4 linked regions of the Lonchura striata genome follow. The protein of the gene in region 4 interacts with the protein of the main gene of each other region in a pairwise test. Links are inferred from orthologs where the notes say so. Each region holds a gene or a part of one and is shown on either strand. Other genes may lie near its edges. The genes, in order: RAP1A, RRAS2, RAP1B and RALGDS.

What was found.
Region 1: the proteins of RALGDS (region 4) and RAP1A interact in a two-hybrid assay, tested with the Homo sapiens proteins (3 studies listed by BioGRID and IntAct). The link is inferred for Lonchura striata from reciprocal best matches to the Homo sapiens genes RALGDS and RAP1A.
Region 2: the proteins of RALGDS (region 4) and RRAS2 interact in a two-hybrid assay, tested with the Homo sapiens proteins (2 studies listed by BioGRID and IntAct). The link is inferred for Lonchura striata from reciprocal best matches to the Homo sapiens genes RALGDS and RRAS2.
Region 3: the proteins of RALGDS (region 4) and RAP1B interact in binary tests that used the Homo sapiens proteins (3 or more experiments, as listed by UniProt). The link is inferred for Lonchura striata from reciprocal best matches to the Homo sapiens genes RALGDS and RAP1B.

The regions. Positions count from the first base shown.
Region 1 is NC_134632.1:5,464,883-5,472,690, reverse strand, and holds the start of RAP1A (ras-related protein Rap-1A), read right to left. Parts: upstream 3,015-7,808; 5' UTR 2,951-3,014; intron 1-2,950. UniProt on the Homo sapiens protein: Counteracts the mitogenic function of Ras, at least partly because it can interact with Ras GAPs and RAF in a competitive manner. Together with ITGB1BP1, regulates KRIT1 localization to microtubules and membranes.
Region 2 is NC_134608.1:50,467,102-50,474,171, reverse strand, and holds the start of RRAS2 (ras-related protein R-Ras2), read right to left. Parts: upstream 3,018-7,070; 5' UTR 2,896-3,017; coding exon 2,791-2,895; intron 1-2,790. UniProt on the Homo sapiens protein: GTP-binding protein with GTPase activity, involved in the regulation of MAPK signaling pathway and thereby controlling multiple cellular processes. Regulates craniofacial development.
Region 3 is NC_134607.1:44,334,346-44,341,824, reverse strand, and holds the start of RAP1B (ras-related protein Rap-1b), read right to left. Parts: upstream 3,019-7,479; 5' UTR 2,907-3,018; intron 1-2,906. UniProt on the Homo sapiens protein: GTP-binding protein that possesses intrinsic GTPase activity. Contributes to the polarizing activity of KRIT1 and CDH5 in the establishment and maintenance of correct endothelial cell polarity and vascular lumen.
Region 4 is NC_134624.1:7,653,419-7,660,741, forward strand, and holds the start of RALGDS (ral guanine nucleotide dissociation stimulator), read right to left. Parts: upstream 3,011-7,323; 5' UTR 2,987-3,010; coding exon 2,807-2,986; intron 1-2,806. UniProt on the Homo sapiens protein: Functions as a guanine nucleotide exchange factor (GEF) activating either RalA or RalB GTPases and plays an important role in intracellular transport. Interacts and acts as an effector molecule for R-Ras, H-Ras, K-Ras, and Rap.

The sequences.
Region 1 (7,808 bases), on a different chromosome or scaffold from region 4:
ATCAGCATCCACAGCCAGAGCCAGCTAAGCTGATTTTGGCAAGGTTGAAAGTAACACTGGATCAAGGATAATCCTGAACTTCAAACAGCTACACATAAAAAACACTTCAAATATAAAGCCTAAAGGTTTGAACTTATGTATGTTCAAAAGATACACTTTGTTTTCTCTAGGAAAGCAGATAACAGGTTCCTGTTGTCAGAGCATTAGGATTCCTCTTGAAGATGATTTTTTTAAGTCTGCAAAGCTGCACAGAAGCAATCTGTTCTCTAAACACTGAGCACGAGTTCAAAGTGCCACCGAGTGCGCTGTGCACGTGCAGGGTACGAGAAAAAGCACTGCAATATAAAGTACAAACAAGTGCTTGCTGTTGTTTATGCCCAGCACGATGATTCAATATACAATTACAACTTTAATGTTCAAGCACATCCACATGTTGCCCTCCTGCCATTTAATTACTTTTCAGTTTTTTTAAGAACAGTCCTCAGACTGGCCGAGCAGCCACGAAATGTATCACTAATAACCTATGTCCGTGTATTTGCAGCTCATGGCTTCACATATAAACTGTTCTGATGCCCTGTGTAAACACCAGTCTCCAAATAAAAGCATTAACCTGTGCTGGACTTGGGCAGTGCGAGTTAATTCAGCCCGTTTGGCAGGAGATCCTCTCAGAACCTTCAGCAAAGCTACTTACCCTAAAAACAGCCACGCCAGAGCCAGGACACGTGATGGCAGGCAGCGCTGGGCTCCGGGGAGCCCCAGGGTGACAGCCTGGGGTGACAGCTCCGGCCTGGCGGGCACTGGGGTGACAGCCCGGGGTGACAGCCCAGGTGGGACAGCCCGGCTGGGACAGCTCCGGGGTGACAGCCCAGGTGGGACAGCTCTGGCCTGGGACAGCTCCATCCCAGGCTGGCCCTAAGGCTCCCCAGCCCCGCAGCTCCCGGGCAGCCCCATCCCGTGCAGGAGCTGCCCTGAGCGGGGCAGCTCTGCTCCTGCGAGGCACGCCAACGCTGTGCATAAAAACAGATTATTTTTAGAAGCGGTGCGAGCGCAGCACTTCCTGCCGGCTCCACCTTGAAGAACGACAGACGCTCTGTCACCCTCCGTTCCAAACCCAGGATTTCACAACTTCTGCTACCTGCCACAACACAGAGAGGCAAGGGACAATCTGCCGAGAGCGGCAAGCGACAATTTCCCAGTTTGTGACTTGGCACTAAGCGCTTCTGTTGGAATATGTTGCCAGTCTTCACTCGCGTCAATAAATCGATGCCTTTTTTCCTGCCGCAGGGATGAACAGAACATTAAATGTTTTTATTTATGACACTGATTTTTTCCATAGCAACCGGATGTGAACATGGCATTCCCAGCGCAATGAAGTCACTATAGCAACGTGATAATGATGTCAGAATAATCAGACAGCATTTCATACTTGTGAAATATATCGCTTCTGTGAATTCAGAAAGTTGCGGAGACCACAAAAGCTCCATCTGGAACTTCCCTTTAACTTGCCTGGTTTTGGATAACTTCTCATTAAAGGCACAGAGCTTTGCTAATGCACCATTCTCTGTTTCTACAAGCTTCATCCATTACTTCCTGAGAGTCTCACAAATTCCCGCATTAAAACCCTTTCAGATCCGAGGATCCGCTACACCAGGGAGAATTACTGACACACCATTTCAGCATGAAAAAGGCAATGACACAAATCACAACAGTGAAACATTTCACAGCAGACAGGCACTGTCAACTGAACAGACGCTTTCCTCAAGTCTTCAAATAATCTGGTGTCTCTTTGCGTGGAGCAACACAACTACTCAGAGAGAATTACAACAGCAGCAGAAATTACAGAGTGCCGGTACAATACTCCGAAGGCAGACAGGCGTTTTCAAGTCAAACACTATTTTAAGATATATTATCTCCCCTGTTAAGCTACTGAAAGGAAAAAACGCAGTTTTCATCGTTTGCCCTTCCTGTTTGCAGCTCTTTCCAAGCTGTGCGCAAAGCAAGACCCAATTCCAGCTCTGTGTCAGGGGGAACTGGCTCACTGCATCCAAACCCCAACCTTCCCACCGAGGAGACTTCGCAGGAATCCCTGCACCAAACCCACATGCCCTGTACCTCAAATATCGCAAGCAAAGGCACCAATTAACGAGAAGTATCTAAACACCAAAGCTTCCCTACACAGAGCACAGTTTCTCTTTAAAGCGACTGAAGGAAGTGCAAGAACCCTTTTCAGAGCTGAGGTGGTCTGACACAACCAGTCCTTGGGAGTGGAGGATGAGGATGGGCTGGGAGGGTGAGGATGGGGATGGACAGGAGGGTGAGGATGGGGATGGACAGGAGGGTGAGGATGGGGATGGACAGGAGGGTGAGGATGGGGAGGATGAGGATGGGCCAGCCCGCTGCTCCACGTGGCTCACGGGGGGCTGCCCCTTGGCTTGTCCCAGCTGCCCAAACCTCCTGCCGCCCATCAGGCCGGTTCGTACAGGCTGTGCCCCGTCCTGCCGTGCCTGTGCCAGCCCACCCTCCGTGCCTCCGGCCTCGCTGTCCCTTCACTCCGGCGCTCCTCGGCCCCGCACGATCCCCGCGCCCCTTCCCAGCGCGGGGAGCAGCGGGGCACCGCACACACCTGACCCCGCCGCCACCGCGGCAATTGCGCTGATCCCGAGCCCGGCGGCACCGCGGGCAGCGCGCAGCCCGCCCGGGGCCGCACGCGATGGATGCGGGACGGACCGGCGGGGCCGGCCGGACGGACGGGGCCAAGCCGCCTCCCCGCGCTGCCGGCCGGGCCGCGGGAGGGAGCGGCCGGCGCGGCCCCGCCGCCGCCCGGCCCCGCCGGACCCCGCGCCGGCCGCTGCCCCGCTCCGCCCGCGCGGCCTCCAGGGCCCGCCGGGACGGCCGCGGCCGCCGCTCCGCCCGCCGCCGCCCGGCCCGGCCCGCCGCCGCCCCCGCTCACCGCCGCCCCCGGGCCGCCTCCCGCCGCCGCTCCGCCGCCGCTGCGGGCCGGGCTCGGGGCTCGGGCCGGGCCGGGCCGCTGCCGCTGCCGCTGCTGCTCTGCGCGGCGGCGGCGCCGCGTCCGCTCCGCCCTCCGCGGCCGCGGCCCGGGGAGGAGCCAGCGGGGCGGGCGGGGACGGCCGGAGTTCCGGGAGGGCCGGGGCAGGTGCGGGGCTCGGGCCGGGCCGGGGGTGCGCGGCCGGCGGGGCCGGTTCCGTCCCGGTTCTGTCCGGGTTCCGTCCCGGCTCTGTCCCGGGGGTGCGCGGCCGGCGGAGCCGGTTCCGTCCCGGTTCTGTCCCGGCTCCGTCCCGGTTCCGTCCCGGCTCCGTCCCGGTTCCGTCCGGGTTCCGTCCCGGCTCCGTCCCGGCTCCGTCCCGGTTCTGTCCCGGCTCCGTTCCGGCTCCGTCCCGGTTCCGTCCCGGTTCTGTCCCGGTTCTGTCCCGGCTCCGTTCCGGCTCCGTCCCGGTTCTGTCCCGGCTCCGTCCGGGTTCCATCCCGGCTCCGTCCCGGCTCCGTCCGGGTTCCATCCCGGCTCCGTCCCGGCTCCGTCCCGGTTCTGTCCCGGTTCCGTCCCGGTTCCGACCCGGGAGAGCACTTCAAAGTGTTTTGTTTATTTTTGTAGAAAACTATGAAAAGAAAGAGCTGTAACACGGAAGTGCACATGTAATTGACACGAAACAGATAAAACTGGGGAAGAGGGAACGGCACATACAGGTCCTGATGGTGTTTTTGTCACCGAGGTTTGTAGGTGACGGCAGCCGGACAGAGAGGATCAGGTCAGAAGTCCTGCACAGTCGCTGATCTGGGAGATGGCCTCATTAGCCCCAACTTCAACTATAATTCAGCTCCAAACTGCACACTCCAGAAAACCTAATGTCAACAGTCAATAAAGTTCAGGGGCTTTTTTTCTTGTTAAGAATGCATAAATACCCCAGAGGAGCTGTAGTAGCTTCCGTGGTTGCGATGCCCGCTCTCCACGAGGTGCAGAGGGATCTCTCGAGCTCCAAGCACTGTCACCTCCTCACGTAACCGGGGACAGGAGGAGCACTGCGGCTGTCCCTGGGGATGCTCCTGCAGAGGACGGTGCCAGCAGCAGCAGCAGCACACCCACGGGCCTCCCCACACTCCCCACCGCCGCTTGCAAAACTTCAGGGACACGAGCAGATTCCCTGAGGTCACACGCTACAGCAACAATATTTTAGCAGTCATGCTGCCTCTCATCCAGAACTCCAACAAAAATGCTAAATATTACTTGTGTGGCTGTACAGATGAGAAAACAAAGATTAAATGACTTATCCAAAATGCCCAGCAAGTGAGCAGCCAGGAGGCACACAGAGCTCAGCGTCCCCACTCACCCTCTGTAACTGAAAGTGCTCCAGTTCTCCTCTCACAGCTCTGTGCGTGCAGCAGAAATAAATACACAGCGCACAATTTTGCTTCCAGGTACAATTTGTGGCTGCTGATACCCATCTGTAAATCCCTGTTTTTATGGCTTAAGAGGTGTCTCCTTCCCTGGGGACCACCGTGCTGGGAGCCAGGTGAATCACGGCTGCATTGGAGTCGCTGGAGGCAGGGCGATGTCAGCAAAAGATTTCCACACTTTGCAGGATTTGGCAGCCTCAGCCCTGAGAGGCTCAGGCACAGTGGGACAGTCGGGGTGGCAAAAGCATCTGCCTTGAAGGATGCTCAGCACTCGTGGTTGAGCACCTCGTTTCTTCAGAGTACAAATGTTATCGTGAAATCTATGAACTTAGGAAGTTACTAGGTCAATGTTTAAAAACATTGCCTGTGTCTGGAAAACAGGCAGGGACAAAATCAGCAGTAACTTCTGTTTTAAAAGCTGTGTAAAAACACATTCCTATGGGCAGAAACGGCAAGGGATGCAATTCCTTTAAAAGACTCAGTGTACATTTGAGCATTCTGAAGGCTTCACCCCAAATTTCCTTTGAAATTAAAGCTTTAACAAGCTTTGCCCCAGATATCAAGACATTTGCAGCTCTTCCCACTGAACACCAACTGAAGAGTTTTATTGTATCTAAGAATCACACACTTATCTATTTCATGGCTTGTGGACCATCTTCCAAGTTTCAAAACAATAAGGGTCCAGGCACAGTGAGGGCCTGACTCAGCAAGACAGAGCTCCTTTTTGATGTGTGTTCTGGGAAGGTTGACTTCTTCCCCCGTTTTCTGCAGGTTTCAGTGGAGGCTGATAACATTTATTGCTGAGTCAGGCTTTGCAAGTACATGAAATTAGATCTGGATGAGTGTGAACCTGGCTATGAAATGATTAGAAGAGGAGAAGCAGGGCCAAGTTCAGTGAACTCAGAGGCACTTTTCCTAGTGACTCGTGCAGGGCAAACATCTGGATCCGTTTCTCCCAGTCCTGCCCTCGCTCGGGCAGATGCAGCCCCTGAGCCAGAGCTCTCCCTCCTGCCTGCTGCTCCGTAGCTCTCGCCCAGCAGTGGGCTGTGGTCAGCAAATCCCCTCTGGCAGCAGGCAGTGACATCCACGCCTGTGTCTCCTGGGTGCTTTCCCTACTTCTGGCAAGTCCATGACTGCAGGGACACCTGCCTGGAGGGCTGGAACCTGCACCAGCCCCAGCTCCACTGCACACCAGCTCAGCAGCAGCACAGGAGGTGAGCACAGAGAATCGATTCCCTGCACCCTGTCACATACAGGACACAGCCTGTAATGTCCTGGACGCAGCCCAAGAAATCCAGTGACCCGTCCCTGTGCAGTTTTATTGCAAAAGGTGTCATTTCTCACAGCCCATCTGTTTGTACAAAGCAGGAGTTGCCACAATAGCTTCTTTCCTGAACTCTAAATCCATTCATATTAAATTACACCAAGATTTCACTCCCCTTTTCCTGCTGTATGGCAGTGGTAAAAGACTGAAAGGAAAACACTTGTTTATCCCAGAACCTGCAACAGGATTGCAACTTTTCACCTGCTTTTGCAGCTGAGTTGCCGAGGTTGCACTGAGTCTTCTGCAGGCAAATTAATATGAAGCAGAATCCTTCGGGACTTCTTTTATTCCAAAACAATAATTGCCCAATTGGATAAATTATCACAAGTTCAGCTGATGTAAATATGTAGCTAAGGCCCATTTGCTGATTTAATGAAATTCAGAAACAATTTGTGATTGCATAATGACCTTGGATTCCTGGCTGATAGAATCAGAGGGCTGGAAGTAAATGAAAGTGGGTTTGACACCATGCAGGCTAATTACACGTTATCCTGTGCCCTGGCTGTCAGAAGTGAAGGTGCTGACTGCATCCTGCTCCTGTCTGAACTTAAGCTGCACAAGGAAGGAGCTGGTGCTCTCTAAACTTACAATAATCACTCTTTAAACTCTAGTCAGGGAAGAATCAAGAGAAAAACGCTCATTCCAAAGACCTCAACACAAGCCTTTGAAGTGCAAGCATAATATTTTCTTTCCAGATGAGATTGCAGTGTATAATTATGAATAATGACTAATGATGTAATTAGCAGTGAGCAGGCACATGGCTGCCAGCAGCTGCCCTGGCTGAGGGTCACCGAGCTCACAGCTCACCTCCCACGCTGTCCTTGCCGAGCAGAAGGGATCATTTAACTCAGCCCAGCTTCCCCAGCTCTGCAGGGCAGGAGAGCTCCGAGCCTGAGCTGTTCCCAGAGCAGACAGGACCAGATTCCCTGGAAGCCCCATCCCTGATCCCTGCTCCCACTGCAGGCTGGCTTTGTTCCAAGCCCACTGGCTGGCTGGGAAGCTACCAGGCAATTAGGCAGATTAGAGGGGAGCTGTGGGGTCTGGGAGGGGTGGCTGGTCCCAAGGCAGGGCTCTGCAGAGCTCCAGCAGGCTTCCAAAGGGAAAGCCTGCACTGGCTTTGCTCCTGGGCAGCAGTGCTGGGGCCATGCTCCTCCCCAGCCCATCCAGTGTCCCTAAATCCCTTGAAATCCCAGGCAAGGCTGGATCCCAGTGCAAACTCAGGTATTTTCCAGGTTTGAGCCCTAAGGATGTGAGCACCGGGACTGCAGAAAGGGTGAGGAGGCAGGAACAAGACCTCCCCTACCAAAACCACCAGCAAGCCTGGGCTTTCCTCCTTTGTGGCTCCGAAAGGGACATGGGATGCAGGGAGGCTTCTTTTGCAGCTTCCCAAACATTTCCCTTCCTTGTGAGCATGCCAGAAGGGCCTGGAGTCTGTCTGGTGTCTGCAGCTCTGCAGAGTCAGGAGAAAGGCAGAGGCTGATCGGGGTTTCTGGTTCAAGGGCTCTATAAATACCATCAGAGGCTGTGAAACTCACTGGGGAAGGAAGCACAAATCCCACTTCCCCTGCTCAGCTACGGCAGGGAGCTGCCAATTGCCATGGACAGGGATTCCCATGGTTCAGGGTGACAGCAGCACAACGGGCTGCTCGCTCTCTGCTTTCTGCAAGCAGGAATTTCCCTGTCCAAAGCTCTAGCAGCCTGGATTTCCTCCCAGAGGAGCCTGTGAAGGAAAGGACCCTCAGAGAGCTGAACCTGAGCAGAGCCAGCAGCCTGGGCACCTCTCCTGGCTTAGCTCCCAGGCGCTCCCAGGCACCTGCACAGAGCCCCCAGAGCACAGCCCAGGGCCTGGTTCTGCCCCCACTAACCCCATCCACAGCTGGCAGCACGGCTGGGGCAGAGCTGCTGCATTTGCACAAGAAAAACCCAAACCAGAGGAGCCTGGAACTCCCCAAGCCCTGCGGGGACAGGCCCAGCCTCAAGCAGGAGAAACTGGGACAGAGAGCTCAACGTGAGCAGCAACAAGTGTTATTCTTCCAGCTGACAAACTGTGCTCACTGCTCAGAGGCAGCTGCAA
Region 2 (7,070 bases), on a different chromosome or scaffold from region 4:
GCTTCCTCATGATATCCTATCACCACAAAAGTCTGATTTACTGGAAAACAATCAGCACCAAAGTAAAAGCTGTATTTGAATACTGATTTACTGAAAATTAAAAAGGAAAGCAATACCAAATGTAGAAATATCTGCTAGTATCAGTAAGAGGAAAAAAGCTTTCCTTTTTAAGCTTCAGTTGGTGACAGCCTTATTTTAAACACAAGCACTAAAGAAGCAAAAAAATTTAAATCCTCCACTGACATCAGAATCTGTCATGTAGCAAAAGCTAGTACTGATCCATGTTTTAGTGAAGGCCACTACACGTTTGTCACTTAATCCTAAGAAATTCCAAAAATGAAGCACGTGACTTGCTTGTAATCAATTTTAAAACAACTTGGAGCAGTTTCTGTGCAGCCTTAAAAGACAAACAACGTATTTGGCAATACACTAGCTGTACAGAAACTACCCAGGTGCCTGCATGGCAAAGCACACACTTGATAACATCACAGCTTTAAGAGCTCAGGAAGACGCTGTGGGATATAAATAGTATACCAAACCTCATCTCTTATTGTCCACAACCACACAGCAAGCACGGAAACAACACAAAACTCTTCTCTAAGGTACCTGAAGTACTGCCCTGGTCTTTATTTCCCAGCTATTTTTATTCAATTTTGTTTTGGGCTGTTTGGGGAATTTTTAAGCTGAATTTTCTGCTAAACTTCACTTTGCAGTGGCAAGATTTTATCTCAGGATAAAGCTGCCGAGAGGGCAAAAAGATGGAGATAACTTAATGCAAACTGACAATAAGTTGTTTTGAAGAATTCACCCTCAATGTGTCAGCTTAACACCACAGTGCTGTTCCCTCAACACTCTTTCAAAGTGAACTATTTATTTTTCTGCTGTTAATTTGAAAAGATCCTTATATGTGACAAAACAGACACGGGTTCCTCTTTTGCAGATATTTGCTGAAAGGCAAGTGTCAGTCACAGCACTTGGCCCAAAATTTATATTTATATTTAATGTAAGCTCAAACTATTAGGTTGAAGAATTACTTTCTACAAGTACTCAAATATTGAAGCTTTTCAGTACTCAGCAGAACCCCATACTGCTCTTAAAAAAATGGCTATACAAAGACATCAAGTGTGAGCTTCCCTTTTTTTCCCCCTCTTACATCTTTAGTAGAAATTACAGCTGCAAAGGTAAAGTTATCCCAAAGCCCTCAATGCTGCCTCAATCCAGAAATCCCTTCAGCAACATTTCCCAAAACAGCAACATCAGAGAACTGAAGCCACATCCAGATGCACACATGACTGCCACAGCGAGACACAGGCAACACCACCTACAGCAGCAGCGCCATGCTTGAGTGAATGGCACCCTAAACCAGCTGCAGAAAACTCCGGGTTTCATAATCTCCATACGCAAGCAATGAGGAATTCAATCCACACACTGAGAGGACTGCACTTATTCCAGCCCCATCACCTTCAAACAGACCAACCAGCCAGTATTCTACCAAAAACTGACCAGCCACCTACACATCTGACAAAAGACACCTGTGCAATACACCTCAAAAGGCACCAGTCAAACTAAACTAGTTCCAAAGAACTGATTCTCCCAAAGGGTCCTCTCTTTTAATGTTCTCTACAACATTGGATCTTATAAGCATATTAGTATCCAGTACCTACCCAAAAAATTCAAAGTAATGTCTTCTATGTAGTTAGTCTATGCTGCAGAGCTTAAATTTTTAACAGAGTAGTTGAGCTAATGAACACATGGATGCACATGTGAATGAAAAAACCGACTGAAATAAAGAAATAGTCTATTTGCTATCAGATCACCCAACACCTATTTTGTTGTAACAAAATATTAGTGGAGAACATCATTGCCCCAAGCATTAAAAGACAAATCTGCCCCGCTGTCAAGCAGCCCATCTTAGGAGTAGGTAGAGCATTACCGGCTGTCCACAGTGGAATAAAAGAAAACAAACAAGAAGCCATGCTCTCCAGATTTGCTGCTCTGCCGTCAGCAAGAGCATCAAGCAGAACGCAAGTAGTTGTCTCCTCCTACCACCATAAACAGAGGTAGAAAAGCTAACAGCAACAGGGCAGAGGATGAAAATAAGTAAAGGAGGTACGGCTGAATTCGTGGCGAAACAGTAAAACGGGCTCTTCCTCGTAACACTGACACGCACTCTTACTATCGCCTTTTCTGGAGTGTTTTTTACTAAATACGAATAGACGAAAAAGTTCAATTGTCTGCAAGTTGCAGGATGAACAGCAGGCGCTCCGAGGGGCGGTGGGCGCTGGCCGGTCCCAGCTCGCACAGCGTGCACCAAGCACTCCTCCTCTCGGGGGGAGCCGCGGGAGCTCCCCGGCCCCTTGCCGGGCCACCACAAGATGCTCAGCCCGGGGCAGCTATTTCGGAGCCGGACGCCGGGTGTCACCGCTCCCCGGCCGCGCCCGCCGCACCGGAGCCGCCGGTCCCGAGCGCCGCGGCGCCCGGAGCGCAGCGCGCCCGGCCGGCGAACCCCACCCGGCGGCGGCGCCCGGCGGGCCGGGGGCGGCGGCCTCTTCCCGCCCTCCGGAACCTTCCCGGGGGCTCGCACCGGCCCCGCCGCCGCCGCCCCGAGCCCCTCAAGGTCACGCCGCCGCCTCCCCGCCCCGCGCTTCCCGCTGCCCCGCCGGCAGCATCCCACGGCGCCGCCGGGAGCTGCCGCCCGCCGCGCCGGCTCCAGCCCCGGCCCCCCCGCGCCGGGCAGCGCCCAGGCCCCGGCGGGCGGAGCGCTCCCCGCCGGGCGCCGCGGCCCCTCACCTGGATGAACTGGATGGTGAGCGCCGACTTGCCCACGCCGCCGCCGCCCACCACCACCAGCCGGTACTTCTCCTGCCCCGGGCCGTCCCTGCAGCCCGCGGCCATGGGGGAGCCGAGCGGGGCGATCGCGGCAGCGCCGCCGCGGGGTCCGACGCCCGCCTCTCTCAATGGCGCTCTCCTCGTCGTGCCGCCGGGGCTGAGCAGCCGCAGGCCCCGCCGCGCCGAGCGCCGCCGGCAGCGGCAGCGGCAGCGCCCGGGCCGCCGTGCGAGCGGCAGCGCCGAGCGGAGCGGAGCGGAGCGCGCAGCACCGCCCGCCCCCGCAGCCAGGGCGCCGCGGCACTAATGGCCGCCGGGGGCGGGGCCCGCGCGCCGCCATGCTAATGAGGGGCGGGGCACTCTTATCTGCATGCTAATTAGGGTGGGTATGCGGGGGCGGGGCCAGCGGGGAGCCGCCGTACGAACGCGCTGAGGGGGCGTGGCCCGCGCAGCGCCATGCTAATGAGCTCTTGCATATGCATGATGCCCGCCCGCGGCACCGGCGCGCCGCCGTTTGTGGCGTGCGGGTGGCGGCGGCCCTCGGTGTCCCCCGGTGTCCCCCGGCAGACAGAGAGCCGCGGAGCTCATTAGCGGTGTCCCCACGGGCTCCGGCGGGGCGCCCGTCTGAGTGCCTCATCAACATTCATGAGGCTCTGGATGCTCACGGGATGGGGAGGGAGGTGTTGGTGACCCTTCGCAGAGCCAAGGCGCGGAGAGGTTTAAAGCCAAAGCGTCGCTAATGTCGCTTCCCACCAAGAGGGAAAAATGGGAAAAAGGTATAGTGACTAAAGCCCTTCGCCACTCTTCATCATGTTTCCTTGCGAGCATGCACGTGAATAGGTTTCTCACTCATTTAAGCCATTCAGATCAAGTCCACCCTCTCCTCTGAGCGTCACCCACCGCTGGATGTCACAGCCCCATATTCAGCCCCCTCTGCACTTGGTTAGAGCACTCCGCTTTCAGTGCGTGGTGAATTCACCCTTTGCATCTCCACCGCTTCTGCAGGGGACAGGCTGCTGTGATCTTCCAGTAGTGTCCTTCCCCTTTGGGTAATACCTTACTGCCCAGGGTGTTTCCGCACACCCAACACTCGGCAGATGGTCATAATACAACGAAGCAGAAGTTCTGCTTTTCAGGGATTTTTCAGGGAATTCCTTCTTCGCTTCCTCTCTCCTTTTTGTGAAGATATAAAGCAACGACCCCACGTATGTCTAATCTTACACACCTGTACATCCGTTTGCCAGCACAGAATGACAGAGCTGTTATCATGTTGCTGAACGGCATAATCACATCAGCGAGGCTCCTCCTCCCTACAAACAAAACTCCTGAATTCCACTATTACCCAATTTGTCATGCTGAGCTTTGCAATTCATTAACTGAATTTCTCTGCTTAAAACCCCAAAACTTTGAAACCAAGAACAACATCCTTCAACGCCCATTCTGTCTCAGGGGAGAAGTGTCCGACACACAGGAAACAAACTGCTACTTTGTGAGTTAATGGTGTAAGTGTATGAGAAGGAGATACTTTGTCCCCAGGACTCACAACAGTATTTTGGAAGAGGAATGCCACAGCTCAGGCTCAGTTGCCTCGGTATTCTCCTGTAGTGATAAGCTGCTTTTTCACATCCGTTTCCTTATTGCACATGCCGATCAAAAATAAGGAACAACTCACACAGGAAAGCATACGTAGCCTAACATTTTCCAGTTTGGAAAAAAGATAAGTGAGAGGGAGATAAAGCAGAGGTCTGTAAATTCCTAAGCAGCGTAGGGAAGTTGAACAGAGAAAGCCTCAAAATAGGAGAACTGAGGGACACCCAGTGATAGTGGGAAGAAACAAGTTTAAACAAACAAAAAAGGATAAAAAAGGATACTGTTTTTCCACAGACACAATCAATGGCACTGTGGAAATCTCTGCCGCAAGGGGCTGTGGAAAATGAAACTGCATGGTAGTGACAAAAGGTTAGACAAAGTCGCAGAGCAGAAAGCAGCATAAAGCATAAAGCAGCTACTAAGCACAGCGATCAGGGACACAGTTTTGACTCGGGAAGCCCCTAAAGCACTGGCAGCCCGGAGGCATGTTTGCTGAACAAAGAACCCACTTTCTTCCCACGTGTCCTGGTCCTGGTGTTCTTTCACCTACAAATCAATCACTGGCCACTGTGAGTATTAATCCAGCAGGACAAGTCCCTAATTCTTAATTACATTCTCTAGCCTAAGAAAAAATCAAAAGTACAGATTGTGAGGAAGTGAAACTGCAGCTAATTTATCAAGTAGTGGGTGTTTTTAATCAAAATACAGCTACAATCTCACAGTTGGCCATTAGTACAGTGACCACTGAACTCTACTGCCAGGAATGGTAGTGACACGAAAAGCAGATTTTTAGCGAGTTTTAAAGACACAAAAATCTCTATGCAAACTATTGAAATAGGATATCTCAGTCTTGGTTCAAAGTTATATGGGAAGCCAAACATTTTTATTATCCCTTATTTTTTAGACTTCAGTTTCATCATTCATAAATTAAAACAAATTTAGTATTCTGAAAACAGTATCAGTATTGTCACTGATATAGCTATCCAATCTTATGAATTCTGCAAGAAAATCTTGCTGTTCTTTAAATGACACTGGTAGATATGACAATGGGTTAAAGTAATACAATCATCTATTATGATCAAGAGAGTCTATTGCAAAAAAATACTGTTAAAATCTTTGCATTTGTGAATTTTGAAATCTAGTTTTATAAATAGAGTTATATTCTTTCAAAGCACAAAGCAGTGCTCACAGGAAAACAGGAGATGGATTGCAATTAATGAATAGTGATGGGCTTTGTAGTTTTGTAACTGCACCCAAAGATGTCAATAAGAGTTGTTTGCTCTTTGCTGTATAAACACAAGTAGAGGGAGAGAATATCAAGTATAGAGACAGTCTAAAACCAGGGCAGCCAGGGCAGGTCCAGCCCTGGAAGTGCCAGTCCCTACACCTTGTCTTCCCTCAGGAACAGCCCTTGCTGTGAGCCCTGGTTTCAGAATACAAGGAGTATACATGTGAATAAAGATATGGAGATGAGGGAGCTACACACTCCAGGATTCATTTCAAGATCCACTAACCTGGGAAAGGCTTGACTGGTGACGCACTTTACCCAGCAGGTGAAGACAAGAAACTTGGGACTGATAGGAGGCAGCAGGGCAAGATGATGCAAAAAGGATTTGGAGTGCTCCATGCAGCCAGGAAAATAAATTTTGCAGCACCAGTTTTCATATCCCTGGGGAGGTAGCAAATGTGGGATTTCATAACAGAGAGGAAGAACTCGAAAACCAAGAGCTGAGATGGTGGAGCCATGACCAAAGTTTTGATGAAGCAGCTGGGAAAGAAAGTACAGCTTTTAGAAGCATTGCATAGAAAGAAGCTGCGTCATTTCAGGTCTAGTCTGAATATGCATATTTAAAAAGAGACAAAATCAGAATGACATCCAGATGGCAGGCTTAAAAGAAAGATCACCATAATGCTTTATGTAATGACAGGGAAAAAAAATACTTCAGGAAGTGCTTGAGGGAAAGATCCAGAACTTTGTTTTACATTGGCAGCCTTGCAGAGAAGTGGGTTTGGAAGGTTAGGAGACGTGTATGCAGTAAGTGACATATTGAAAGCTAAAAAGCGCTCCGTGAGAACCTAAAAGCTTAATTAGAAAAAACTTCTTCTCAGGCTTAGCACAGAAAAAAGTTACAAAAATCTTTGGGACATGAGTCAAAGTGGCAGGTAACTCTAACTCTGAGTTATACCACTGATTTAGGATTATATATGTTCTTATCCCTTGTTTACTGACCTTGCTCAAACAGGACATAAGCATCACCTCTCCTGTGGATAGTTTCACCTAAAGGACATCCATGTGCTGCAATTCCCATCAAAGACTCCACTCTTGACCATAAGAATATTTGACGAAACTGGATTTCTCAAAGCCATAAAACAAAAAGCTTGGAGAAAAAAAGACATTAAAAAATTTGGTTTTCCTTGGAATAGGAAAGTAAGACCTAATTCAGAAGAAAAGAACTGATAATTTTTCTTGTCTATACAAAAAACATAAGCTATTTAATGAGCAATGAATGCCCAGAAACAGGAAGAAAAATAAGCTGTTTCTCCTCAGACACACTTATTAGTTTCTATCTGAGTAAAAAGTAAAACTATTTTCAGCCAAGTAACTACAGCTTTTTATAAATCTTCATCTATTTTTACATCTACCTATTCCAGTA
Region 3 (7,479 bases), on a different chromosome or scaffold from region 4:
GGAAAACAAAGTTTGTCTTGAAATAAGAAGGTGTAGTTACTGTAGATACTCCTTTCATCTCTCTGAACAAGGAGGCTGTCTAAAATATCCCTCTACCTGACCTAGATGCAACAGAACACAGCAGAAGCCTGCCCCAACTCAGCAGGGATTCGGCACACTGACACCACACAGTGCACTTCGGTCTGCTTTTGGATTAGTTCTGAGGTAAAGGAGTGGCAGCATTCACAACCACAAGCTAAACACAGACTTGTGTCATACAGCTTGTGCTGAGTGATCTGTTTTACTAAGGGAGCAAATTTGATTAAAACTCCCAACTGGAGCCTAACCTGACGAACACTCTCAAATGTCAGCTAGGTATCTGAAAGTCATCTAAGCATTACTTAGGCCAATTCACAAAGGATCCGCCTACCCTCTCAGCATACATCCAAGGACAAGAGTGCCTGTTTTTATCGGTAAGATATTCTTATCCTTAAGAGCACCTCTCTGTACCTAACCCTGAGCAGCCAGCAGAGCTCTGTGGATGACAGGATTGGCACAGTAGCAGTAAGCGTCAAGTACTCAAGTACTTCTGTGACTCTTGCACTTCCCACATCCCAGATGATAGGTGGACAACTGTTTATTTTAGTTCCTTGTCACATTTACTAACTGCGAGATCACAAGCTACAGTGTAGCCTTCAGCACACTTCCTTCCTCAGCCATAGAAGCAATTTCTTTCTCCTTTTGTAGGACCTCACCTAGATTCCCATCTGTTTGCCTCTGCTCCAGAAAGGCTCTCAATTAAAAAGACAGTCAGTTTTACTCTGCAAAAACTGGCACAGCACAAAAAGAACTGTCATGGCTCATTTCAGATTTATTTTTGATGAACTGTCCTACAGGAGAGCTTTGGAACAAAATAGCACAATTTTAATTCCACTCAGAAAACTTATCTGGTGCACATATATTGTAATAGAAGCACAGGTACAGACAGTAAAAAGTCTATTGCCCACCCCCACCCCCCCATTTAAAAGTTCTGGTTTTACTTTTTTTTTGGTCTTTCAACTCTGTTTAACAGATTATTTCACTCCTAGGCAGAGAGGTGCTCCAAGTATGATCATCCTTGCTGCAAAAAAGATACATGGCATGGCACTTATATTGCACAGTGTAATTCCAAACTCAGTTACTTGGGTACAGATAGCAATATGGTTTTACACTACAGCTCTAAGTTAAACCTGAAGTAGCTCATAACGCTACAAGAAACAGAGGTACCAAAGGAATAAAACATCACATCTAATTAGTTAATTTTTGCAAAGCTTTTAATGTGAATAGTATAAATATCCCTCACTATTCACAAAGTCTACAGGATAGATTTTGAGCAAAAGTAAAAAAAGATGCAATGAATAATAGAAATGAAAATATTAAACTCTACCAAGTCTCGTTTGGTTTCTTCCCCTCCCAAAAGCTTGTGATTTTAATATAGAGGCAAATCATCCAAAAAGTAGTAAGTTAAAGTTTCAAGTTTTTCACAGAGATAAGAGACTCTTTCCAAAGCGAAATACACTTGTTTTTGAATGGTTATTCTTAAAGGCAATGTGATTGCTTCACTGCCTTTTAATTATAATTCATGGAAAGGAAGAGTGTTTCTTGTCTCCCTTTCTTATAAGAGTAATTTCAACATATACTTCATTGTGAAAAAGTACTGAAAAGTCTTTGTCATACACTGTCTACACATCTCATCCTGGGGTAAGATGTAGCTGTTATGTGCGGAAAATTACAATTACACTAATCAAAACGTCTAAATGCAAGAACACGTATGAAACCTGTATGATTTTCAACCTGGGCATACCTGACATACCCTCTCTTTGAAGTGTACTTCCTTACTATCATATCCCAAAGCAGTACAGAGAAAGACCTTCCTTTTTTTGTGTCGTTTACCCTGAGCAGCATAATCCATGCCTTCAAGATGGAAACAGGAGTAAAAGCGTGGTATTCTTTTCTGCAAAAACCTTGGTTTCTCATGCTCTTTTGTAATCTAGGGCCAATGCGAGAACATTCAGATTTGGTTTTATTCTCTCCTCTGCAAACTTTGTTTTCCTTCCACCACCTCTTCACCAACGCACACAGAAGGGTACGACGACCTCAGGCTCATTAGACGGGTTTGGCGCAGGAAGTGTCAGTCAAATTCTTCCATTTGCTTTGACACGGGTGATGGTGGGGTGTTTAGACGAGGCGAACATCCCTGTCATTTCCTTTTCATTTTGTGATAAGCAGGAAGGGAACTTGCAGGCCCCCGCGCTGTTTGCTTGTCCCACTCCGTGGCCCCCCCAGGCACAAGCCGCGCCCGGCCTGCCCCCCCGCCTCGCCCCCACACACCGGCCGGAAAGAGCGAGCGGCTTCTCTCCCGCGGCCGGACTAGGTGGGGCTCGCCTCGGACTTCCCGCTGACAACGCCGGCGGCCGCCGGGCTCCGTCCCCTTCCCCGCCCGCGGCGGGGCCGAGCCGGGCGTCACCCGCCCCTCCCCGCGGCCGTCCGGGCCCCACGTCGCGGCCCCGACCCGCGGGGTTACAACTTTCCGCTTCCGCTCCAACTTCTGCTCCGGGGACCGGCGGGCGGGGGGGATGCGGCGGACGGCAGGGCCGGGCCCTGGGCCCGGCCGCGACGGCTGCCCCTCAGCGCCCCGCTCCCCCCACCCCCTCGGGGTCCCACCACGCCTGAGGCCGGACGAGGCGGCGGCTCCCGGTTCCACTTCCGCCACGTTCCGGGCTGCTGCCCCTTCCCTCAGAGCGCGCCGCTCCCCGCCGTCGCCGCCGCCACCCCCCTCTCGCCGCCGCCGCCCCCACCCCACCCCGCCCCGCCACCTGTACCAGAGACGCCGCGCCGCTCCCCGCCACAGCGGCGCGGCCCGGCCCGCGCTGCCCGCCGCAACCCACCGGACAGCGCCTCCGCTCCCCGCCGGCCGATCCCGCTGCGCTGCGCCCGCCGCGCTCCGCTCGGCTCCGCTCGGCTCCGCTCCGCTCGCCGCCTGTGCCGGGGCGCGGCTCGGGGCCGTCGCCGTGACGCCGCACGCCCAGCCTCGCTCTGGCGCGGCGGGGGCGGAGGGAGGGGCGGGCGGGGGGAGGGCTGACCCGCGCGCCGCCCCCTGCGCACGCGCGCGGCCGCCCCGCCCCACCCCGGGGCCGGGGTCCGCCGAGGGGAGCGGCGGCCCGGGGCCGGCTGCCCGTGCGCGCCGGGCGGGAGAGCGTGCGCCGAAAGCGCTTCGTGGTTGCGTAAAGTTAATTAAGAACGTAAAGAGCTGGAAAAGTAAATGCCACTGCACTATTGCCTGCATTTCTAAAGAGGTGTTGAGACCCGCTGGTGAAGGGCTTTTCAGAGATGCCGCATACTGCTGGTTTGATGTGGACCAGTATGCCTCTGGATATGAACAGCCTTTCATTAGTCTTGCCTATACAAAGCAGGATTCCCAGTGCCTGCAAATAATCAGGGTATTAGCTTTTCTGTTATTTTAGTCCTAAATACATAAATCACGTTTCCCGCCCCCCCCCCGCCCCCCCCGCCGTCACCCATATTTTCCAGTTACAAAATATTTAGCTGATAAAGATTTAAAAAAATAAATGAGCGTTTATGTTTCTAGGAAACACTTAGTAAGCAAAGAGTTAACGTGGTGCTTTCAGACAAAACTTGTGCTCTGAGGAAGTCCACGTTACTTCCACACTTGCACAAGAGTGCATAAAACTGACAGGAAGTTGCAGTGAGGCTTCTGGCAAGGAGAGTGGGTGTGGAGGAAGCAGTGGCTTTCTGTCTATAGGACAGAGATAGAAAATGAGACCGTATGAGTTCAAGAGAATCTGTGGGAGATGCTAAAGCTCAGAGCAGGGTCAAAGGATGACCAGGGAAATGAACTGCCCTTGGTAGGGAAGACTTCATCAAGATACAGGGCATCCAGAAAGCAATGCACTTTAAAAAATATTTTTTCTTTTACGGTGTTGCTCCCAAATCCTGAATGTCATAAAATCTCTTCCAAAGTCCAGACAAATCTCTTGGTGTTTTACAGCTTAAACCCGTGTGCAGTCCTTTGATAATGAATCCCCGTAAATGAGGATAATGCAAGGCAGCTCTGCTTGTGAGAAGTCCATAGAAACCAGTCCTTTCTTGGCAAGGCATCCTGTGCAGGACAAAAATCATTAATGAGATGAATAGGTGAAATACAGCCTTTCAAATGAAAATCAGAAGAGCATTTCATGCAATTATTAGCTGTGTAGCATATTAGCTCACCAGACAGAAAAATACTTGTATTCTTACTTTGTCCTGTCACTAGATAACTGTTATCAGCACCCAGAAATATTTAGAGGAAAAGAATAAAATAAATATCCTCAACCCTCAGAACTTTCTTCAGTGAACTAGGTTAATCACAAATAACTTGCAGTGTTCCAGGAACAGATACATGTCATTAATGTGATAGAATTTTACAGTGTGCCTTTAATTGTTCTGTGTTTTATAGGCTCTGGGGCAAAAACTCCTCTTTGCTATACAATAAGAAAAGAGGAAGGTGGCCTTTTGGAGTCTTGACTAAATCTCTGTGAGCAGATCGTGGTGTTCTGAGTTTCATATAGGAGTATCTGAAACCTAGTATTTTACAAGAAGTGTATATATACATATATAAATATATGGTTTGCTTAATTTAGACATGTTTGGAAATCGATCTCTGTAACCAGAAAAAATAGTCAATTAGGATTCATTCTAAGCAAGAGACCAAGTGTTCCCTCTCCCCAACTCTCTCCGCCACATAGTTTTAATATAAATTGGGCCTTTAATTTTGGATTTTCCTATGAATCATCTAGCTAATCCTCAGCTCAATTCTTAAACCGGCTTTACTGATATCAGTGTGACTGGCAAAGAGCAATTGGTGTGCTAACAAGGCATACTCACCCAGTACTTCACAGGGGCTTGTTCTGCTCAGCTTGCTCAGAGTTTCTACCTGCCTGATCGCTGACGGTCACTCAGGCTGCTAACAAGTGCTGAGGTTTCCCTATGACAGAGCAACACCCCAGAGAGCTAGGAGTATGGGAGAAATGAGGCGGATACGGCTGCAGCACTGTTGTGTTGAATAGGAACAACACAGATACATCAGCTTGCTTTAGTGGGGCTGCCCATGCCCAGCATTGATCTGGAATTTTTAAAAGAAGAAGGTCAAATACTCAATTGCCTGTTTACTGAGACCTGCTTATGCACATGAATCTTAATATCAAATAGACCTTCCTAAAGCACTGTAACACTTGTCCTTTGTGCTGTAACCTCTGTCTCCCAATTTACCAGTTGCCTGCATGTACTTCAAAACCCTTTTATTTCAATGACCAGTGCTTAGCTGTAGGTATTTCAGTCTGCTCATTACTAACACAATGAGCTACCTGATAATGTCATGGCTCTTGTGACCCCCTCATGAAGAAGATCTTCCTCATGGAAAATGAGGAGGAAAATACTGACTAATCTTGTTAAAAAGTTCAGTGGAATTAGTGGGGGAATAAGGTGGGGGTTGACAGATTATTTGCAGAAAACAAAGTAATAGTTTTTAAATTATTCTTTAATAAAAGCTTGTCAGGGTAGCCTTTGGTCACCTCTGTGTAATTTTCCTGACTTTACCTGCTTTGTTTTCATTGGGATTGCATGGGTGTTGGAGTGAAGAATGTAGCAGTATGTGTATTGCAGTTTCATTACTGCTGAAACACAGCCATCTCTGGGACAGAATGCAGAGCTGGCTTCTGCCAGCAAACTAAAGTTAAAAGGGTATGTAGTGCCAGGGAATACAGTGCTGGCTGCATGCCAACTATCTGTGAGCTTTTCTAGAAATTTGCCACGATGGAAAAAGAAACGCTGTTTGGCAAATCCTAATAGGATGCTTTACTTTCAGAGGGGAAGCAAATTCCTCATCTTTTAAGGGGAATGGACTGAAGGGGATCAATTCTTAGCTTTACAACTCGGCTGTTCCAGCAAAGAATGGTTACTAGATTAGAATGTGTTTTGGATCATGAGAGCAATAAAGAGAAAACTTCTTTAACACTAAAGAAAAATAACGTATTCTTGTGACATAGATATGTGAAATGTTTTTTCATTCTGTATCCTTCAAAATTAATTTTATTTGTTATTTCTCCATACTCAGAAGATTTAGTCACACAGAGTGGGAATACCTGTCTGTCTGGATAGAACCTTGAGATGTTTCAGGGATGTGTCTTCCCCTCCAGACTCTTTCACCTGATAATTATTAGTTCTACTTGTTCATCATCTTCCCTTCAGACATAGCATCCATTATGCAGTTCTGCTTCTTAATGTCTCTTCATTGCATCTTCTTGATATATTGCTGTTTGTTAATCAAAGGTGTTTAAATATTGGTTTAATCACAAGCTTGACTGAAACTTAATATGAAGACTTTTTTCTCAATTTTTTTTTCACTTTCCATGCATTTACCTCATTGTTGAGGAAAATTCTGTCACTTCGCTCCTCTTTCTCCTTCAAACCATCTTGAGTTAATGCTTTTTCTTATCTCTGAGTGATGCTCCATGACTCTTCAATTTAACTGCCAAAATCTCTTACTGAACTAGCCCTTTTCCTTATCCTTGGCCAAAATCCTATTATTTGTTCACACAATATTGTCCTCCCTTTATCTTGTGATTTGTCTCCTTCCGTACCCTCAAAGTGATAACTGCTTTGAGATGCAAAATTTGCTATTGTTTTATTAAGCTGGTGTAGAACAGGCAATGGACACTACTGCAATTTAAACTGTAAATGTCAGCATTTATTTACAGGTATCTAATTTTTTAATCTATTTTCTTCTGTCTTTGGGAGACTGCTTTTATATCACTGCAGTTACTCCAGATAAAGCAAGGAATAGCTGTTTCACAACATAGGTGCTGTGAAAGCAAAGTACTCTGAATTGCAGAAGAATTCAAGAAAATGTCCCAAGCTTTGGACTTTAAACTCTTAAAAATTAGGATTCGTTTAGTAAAAGGAAAAGCCTACTTTATTTTATCCTCTGTGGAAAATCCTTTTTCAAATTGCTTTGGACAACTAGCTCATCAGATAAGGAACAAGATTGTCACAGCAACATAAGTGCTTTAAAAGTTTAAATTAAGAATAATGTATCTACTTGAAAATAGAGAATGAATATAATTACCTGGAGGAAAATCTGTCTAGGATATGGGTGATTATTTCTCTCAAAAAAAAAGCTGAAAGTCACACACAAATTTTCACAGTTTCAAAGCTTCAGAAGTTTCACTTCCCTGCTTTTCCAAGAGAACATTTCTAGCAGTGCATGATGCAGAAAGGTGGTTACTACTTTCTGAATCACCAGCTGCTGTGATACCTGGATAGTTCTTCAAAGTCTTCCATAAAAGGGCTGGATGCAATGGCATTGTGATGACTGATCACAATGTGTCAGTATAAAGCTGTAAACCAACAGTTTCCTCATTTATAATTCCGCACTATTCCCAAGAATGTCCTTCTCCACCCCAT
Region 4 (7,323 bases):
CAACTGAAAATCTCCTAATTGTTCAGAAAACAAACACAGCCAGAACTACAAGGACTTTTTTTATAAGGGCTTTTTTTTTTATGAGTCAGCCCAGCCTCCTCAGAGGTTCAGCAACATCAGCTGCATGAAAGTTTCAGTCTGTGTCATCTGCAGTGGTGTTTTGGGCCATTCCTGGCCAGCAGGACCAGGAGGGCCACCAAATTCACCCTGTGGCTCCTGCTGGACTGGAAGGATTGACACTCAGTGCTGAATATGGAGTGGATTGGAACTGAAAAGGTCAAAACAAAAGGTCTGCAAAGCTGCTCTATCAATCCCCCAGTTGAGACACAGTTGGTTTAAATTTTCCATCCCCCGTGGTTAAAATCCTGGTGAGAGCACTTGGCTCACAGTGATGCCTGCTGATCGATACCGTTGCTGTGGGATACAGGCAAAGTCTTCCCTGCTGCCATCCCCTGGGGTCTCAGTGAGGACCAGAGAGAGCCATGAGGACCAGAGAGAGCCACGTTCCCTGCAGCCTGCCCAGCAGCTTTCCAGGGATCCTCCATTCCCTGTGGGACCAGACTATCCACCCACGAGCTCTGCCAAAATCCAGCACAGCTCCCTTTGGCTGAGGTGACAAAGGTCCCACCGTGTCCTGGGGACTGTCACTGGGGCTCAGCAAAACACTGATGGTCCCCGGGGGATCTTATTCAAATAATCTGCTTTCTCCTCTCAGTGTGCATCCGCAGCTCTGCCTGAGGATTGCAACCCCACCAGGCCACCACAGTTGTCACAACAGTGACACATTTTTTCCTCTCCCCGCTCATGCAATGAGCACCAAGGCTGCTCAGGAGGCTGTGGGTCACACAGTGCACCCCTCTGGGCTGCCCCTTTTCTCAGCATCACTTGGAAATAGGGAAAAAAGAAGGAATTTCTGTTCAGGACCGGGAGGAACGCTTGAGCGAGCGGATCTGACCATTCACCAGCACAAACCCACAGAAACGTGGGCACAGAGAGCTCGGGAGCAGCTCTGCCTGGCAGCTGTGCCCGTGCACAGAGAGCTCGGGAGCAGCTCTGCCTGGCAGCTGTGCCCGTGCCATGCTCAGGTGAGCTGGGCTTTGCTCAGAGCCAGTGGGGGCCATGCACAAAACATGAACCTCTCTCAGCACAGCATCGCCCAAGATGCTCCAAAGCCTCTCCTGAGCTCCAGAGCCTCCTCCAGGCAGGGCACATTGTCCCATGGGATGAGGGGGGCAGCACGCTGCATGACCCCCTTTTTTCCCTCTTTTCCCCCTCCTGCTCCTGCTCTCCCAGCCAAAAGCGCGGCCCCTCAGCCTCCCGGAGCGCCGCGGGCCGAGGCTGGACTTCCTGCCAGGCATAACACGAACCAGATGATGCACTCCAAAGATGTCAGTACGCCCACCCCCAGGAGAGGAGAGACGGGCGGGGAGAGGAGAGGGGGGGAAAACAAGCTGGATGGAGCTTTCATGAACTCTCACAGAGCTGATGAGCTCTGCCACCAGGCCAGAGGTGAAGCGGAACAGCCGGAGCCTGAGCTCATCCCTTCCTGACCAGGATTTTCCATGGCAGGTTGTGGGGTTGATTATTTGGGAGAAGGAGCCATTGCCCTCCCCGAAAGGCTGGCTGCCCTCGGCGGATATCTGCACGGCAACGAGAGAGGATTTAGTGGCCATTCCCCCCCTCCACCGCCCCCATTCCAGCGGGAAGCATCCAGAGCAGCACATCTGCAGCTGGCTCCAAATCCCAGCAAAGCCAGGCTTGCTGACCCTCGCTGGTATTAACCCCTGCACCGCCAGGGCTGCGACTTCTGAGCGGCAAAACCTTCCTCCCGCTGAGCCCCTCCTGACACACCGTTTGCTCCCGATCAGCGACACTCCCACCGCACCGATGACGATCATCCATTACTAAGATAAAAGGCCCAGCTCTGACTCAGATTATTTCGGGTGCCTCCACATGCAACTGCCATCAACAAAGCACTCGGGCCTCGCTGCGACCAGCCTGACTTTGAAGCACCCGAGGTTGAACCCAAACAAGCACAAATATTTTTGCATCCTCCAGGAAAGTCCTCCCAATGCCCGTAACCTTCCCAGAGGACACTTTTGTGGTTTGGACAAGCCTGAAGCCCTTACGAACAGCTCAGATCAGAGCAGACTCCTGCCTCCCGCAGCCAAAGTCTCAAATGAAATATTAAAAGCCCGAAGTTTTAACAATCAGCCCCTTTCCCTGGGTGCCTGGAGGGAGAGCATCTGGTTTCTCCCTGCCGAGCCTGGCAGCTGCCTGCCAGTCCCCAGGGGCACAGGGACTCACAGCAAAAAAAGCCAAGCAGGGGCACCCATTTGTTCAACAAAATGAAGCACCTAAAGCACCTAGAGGGGCCTGCAAGAAGGCTGGTGAGACTTTTGCAAGGGCATGCAGTGGTAGGATTTAAGGTGAAGGAGGGGAGATTTAGATTAGATATTAGGAAGAAAATCTCTGTGAGGCTGGTGAGGCGCCCAGAGAAGCTGCGGCTGCCCCATCCCTGGAAGCGTTCCAGGCCAGGCTGGACGGTGCTTGGAGCAACGTGGGGTAGTGGAAGGCATCCCTACCCACGGCAGGGTGGGGAAAGATGATTTTTACGGTCCCTTCGAACCCAAACCGCTCCGTGATTCTATGTAACGCAATTCTGCGAAACACTCCGCGGATGCCCACAAACTCCGGGCCAGCCCTACCCGCGCTGCCAGCGAGGCGGAGCCCCCCAACCCCCCGAGGGGCGCGCAGCGGGGCCGGGCCGCTCAGCACCCCAAACCCCCCAAATCCCCGCACTCACCTCCAGCGGCGGCAGGTCGGGGTCGAGCTGCGTGAAGCTGTGCAGCACCACGGGGCTGCTCTCGCCGGCCACCTCCAGCCTGACACCGCCCCAGAGGCTCCGCGCCCGCCGGCAGCCCTCGAACATCCTCTCGGGGCCGGCGGGGCCATGGCGCGGCGGGGCGCGGCGGCGGCTCACCATCGGCGGGGCCGCCGCATCCCCGGCCCCGCAACCCGCCGCCGGCCCCGCCAGCCCCCCCGGCTGCCCGGGGAGCCGCAGCGGGGACGTGGGGGCGATGCTCGGGGGGCAGCGCAGCGCAGCGGGAGCGGCACGCACCGGGAGCCCGCGGCCGCCCCCGCGCCCGAGCAGCGGCCCGATGTCACGGCGGGGCCGGGACGGAGCCGGCTCGGCTGCGGAGCAGGCGCTGGATTTCCTCCCGAAGCCTCCGCCCGCCCCCGGGGGCCGGCCCGGCGCGGCTCGGCCCCCTCGGGGAGGGGGGACGGGGACACGGGAGGCGAGAAAAGCCCCGAGGCCGCACAAAGCGGGGAGGATGCTCGGGGGGCTGCGGGGGTGGTCAGAGCTCCAGTCCCAGCTGGGCGGGGGAAACGCCGCCGATGGGAAAGTCACACAGGTGACGACGGCTTTGGGAGAGGATCTTTGTGTCACCAGGTGCTGCTGAAGCACCTGGGGTTCGCGCACCACTAGGCAAAGAAAAAGTGTTAACTGCGGGCGAGTGGATGCCGTCAGCACGTGTTTTCATCTGAGCGTTATCTCAGCCCCCCAGCAGCAGCCTCAGCCCCTCGCTGGCCACGGCTGGGCTCGGTGACACGGTCACAGCCCTGCGGGATGAAGTGATGTGAGTCACCGCCAGGCCCCCCATGCACAGGCGAAGGGGGGATTAGGGATTAGAGCGCCTGCTCTCAGCCCAGCAGGGACTCTGGGAAAGCAAAACGAGCCTGGGGGACAGCAGGGCTGCAGATCCCACTTTAGAGGACCCCTGCAACATCATTTTGTTTTCAGAGGCAGAGAGAAACGGGCTGAAGTGTTTGTCATCCATCAGCCCCCTGCGCCGAGCACTGCGTGCTCCAACCCTCCCCTGCTCTTCCCCTTCCCTCCTCGCACACTGCTCAGAAACTGCATCACAGGGCCCGGCCAGTTGCTGCTGACACCACCAAAACCCGGACTTTCATGCCTCAGCTCCCTCTGCAGCTGAAATAACATCGGCCTCCCAGGGCCTTCCAGCCCTGCAGCTTGATTTCCAGCGAGGATGGAGCCAAGGCTCACATGTCCAGCTCTGCCCAGGGCACCAGCAGCTCCTGCCCGGGCAGGAAGGGATTAACAAAGCTGCCAGGCTGTGATAGCTTCCAACTGGAAAGTTTACCAGGCAGAAGGATGAGCCAGGACAACGTGGGTTATTGTCCTGCTTTATCTGGAGCCAAAGAGGTCAAAGGAAACTTCCTGGACATCCTGGGAAAGGGGACCCAGCCCAGCAGCAGGGCCTTGCACTGCCCCACATCTCTGGGGGGCAATACACACTCCCTGCAGAGGTGTCCCCAGCCCCACTGCCACATCACACAGGAACCATGTGGCACTGCAAGATGTGCTGTGAAACTCGGTGCTGTGCATCCCTCTGCTCGGGACACGCTAAAAGCAGAGTTAGGGACCTGGTTTTCCAGCAGAAAGCACTGCTGCCTCTCTGGGCTGTGAAATATTTGAGAGGGAGACTGCTTTGCTTCATGTTTGAGTCTTAGGGCAGAGTAATCACAGCCCAGGCCTGGACTCGCTTGGCACGGCGGGAGTGCACACAGCAAACAACAGCAGCACTCATTTGCAGCTGGCAGAGCCCTCCCAGAGCCTCCAGCTGCGTCTGACCTCTGCAGAAAGAAGCAGCTCTGTTTGATGGGCAATTTTCTGCGTCCCCCGGTTGACCACTAAAGATGGTTTCAGGGGAAAAACACTTCTGATAATGGATAATAAATAATATAAGGCAGGAAGGCAACTGCGGGGGTTTAAAAATAGCCAGTCAGTTTCCTTTCTCCTCTCTGGGGAACCTTCTGGGTCTGAAAAGCAAAACACTCAAAGCGGGGTCAGGAGCCCAAGTTCAGGATGTTTGCTCTGCCCAGCTAACCCCAAACACTCGGCTGTCAGGGGCAAGGCTCTTGAAAATCATGAGATTCAAAGCAAATAACTTTTCAGGGCTTCTTGTTTGCCTTTAAGCACACAGGTGGAAGGGAACAGGCAGCATCACAGCCTCAGCTTTCCCTCCAGCACCCTTGAAGGTCAAGAAATTGTTGCAAGATGTGATTAATTGACATGCACGTGACTTCGGGGATTTAAGAAAACGATCAATGCTTGAGTGACTCATTAAAAAAATATACTGCGAATTTGCACTTGGCAGACTCAGCAAGAAACTTTTCACAACGCACTGAGTTTTCCTTGTCATCTCTAAATGTCCCATCGACTCTGGCAGGCCCAGGAATTGGGTGCTGTGGGAAATCCACCGATTTTTGTCTTCCCACCGCTCTGAAATCAGCTCTTGGCTGGATAAATAAAAACCCACACAGCCAACACTGGAGCAGCTCTGCTCCTCTGCTGCAGTCTCCAGCCTTTCCTGCAGGGTCAATAACGTGGAGAGGGTAATACAGATAAACTTTTGGAAACTTTAAGCCAGTTTTCTGGTTTGGGAATCAATCTGTTATAGTCAGGACTTGCAGATTCAGACTCAGTTAATAACTGGGCTCAGCCTGGACCCCGAGTTGTCTCTCCTCAGCACAGGGTGTCTGAACATTCCCTCAGCTGCATCCTCCAGCCCTCCTTTGCTTTCATCTCCCTGCTCTGCTGCTGAGTGGGGCTTTCCAGCATCTTTCCAACAGGGCAAAACTCACAGCGACCCAGTTCCTGTGCTCAGTGTTGCTGTGGAGTTTGGTTTATTTTGCCATCAAGTGAGGCTGCCCACCCCAAAGCATGGCTCACAAACACTTCCACAGGAGTTGCTCCTGCCTGGCATCAGCTGCCTGCAAACAACCCAGTGCTCCTGCCACCATCCTCAGGGCACTGCCACCATCCTCAGGGCACTGCCACCACCCCCAGGGCACTGCCACCATCCCCAGGGCACTGCCACCATCCTCAGGGCACTGCCAGCACACCAAGGGTGCTGCCAGCACCCCCAGGGCACTGCCAGCACCCCCAGGGCACTGCCAGCACCCCAACAAACCCCTGTTCCCTTTGAGCCTCAGTGAAACCACAGCAGGACCGACGCCAGGAGCTGCAAAGAGCTGATCTCAGCCCTGAGCAGAGGAGGCAGGAATCACCCTCACCACCTCTAACTGAGCCCCTCTGGAACATCACACACCTCCAGCTTTCACTGTTGGACCAGCAAGAGAGCCAGGACCCAAATCTGCAGCCTCTGAGGGGAACTGGGCTGCTTTATGTGGGAGTTGCAATGTTGTCCAGCCTCTGTCCCAGCTCTGGCACCAGCTCACAAGGCGAGTCTGTGTCGGGCTCTGACATGGAGCCCTTAGCACTTCCTTCTATTGTGCAGCTGGAGAAGCCCTTTTCTTGCTGTTTTCAAGACATTTTGCAGGAAAAGTGATACCTAGTTACAAGAATTACTAGCTGGAGGTTAGGTATTACATGCTAGATCAAAATCTTTTGGGCATTCCAATTTTAATTGGAAAATACTTTTGTTTTCACTGCTCAGACTCAGCTGGAAGGTTGTTTTATAAGAAATATAATAATAATAATAGTAATAATAATAATCCAACAGTAAACAACCGGTACTGTCTCTTCCACTTCAGGATGAGGGGGAAAGCTTGTGCAAGAAGGGAAAATTTTGTCACTGCTCTGTCCATACAATCTGTAAGAGATGTGAGACTGGGTTCCCCCAGATTTGGGGACCAACAGATCTCAGACCCTCACAGACCCACTTCTCACTCCCAGCATGACCAATGCCCTGATTTAACCAGATTTTAGATGAGAGCCACCCACCACTTGCCACAGCTTACAGCAGGCACGGATTTTAGGAGATTCTCTGCTGAGTATTTCAGACCCAGGGCAGTTGGGTCACTCTGCCTCCAGGTTTTGGGCGTTTTTCGGGGCTGTTTTTGACAGATCAGGCACTGTGAACGCTGTGCTGGCAAGCATTAACACAGCCAGGCAAGCCCCTAATTACTGTCAGCTCCTAGCAGAGGAAGCACAGCAAATCCCCAGGCAATCAGGATCTAAAAGTCTCCATCCAGCTATTCTGTGTTTCATTTCCTGCAGCCCCTGTGCACAGCTGGGCTACGGCAGCTCCTGCCGAGGCTGCCGGTCCTGAAGCTCAGCAATTATTCCACAAGCCTTGGAGACTCCAGAGCTTGCAGGGATATTTCTCCTCCATCCTACTCCTTACACCACCCCCTTGGCCGTAGCAGAATCATAGATTTTTTTTGGGGAGGTTGGGTTTTTTAGATTCCAACAGGTTTGGGTTGAAAAGGACCTTAAAGATTGTCTCGTTCAAACCCTGCCATGGACAGGGGCACCTTCCCTGTCCCACATTG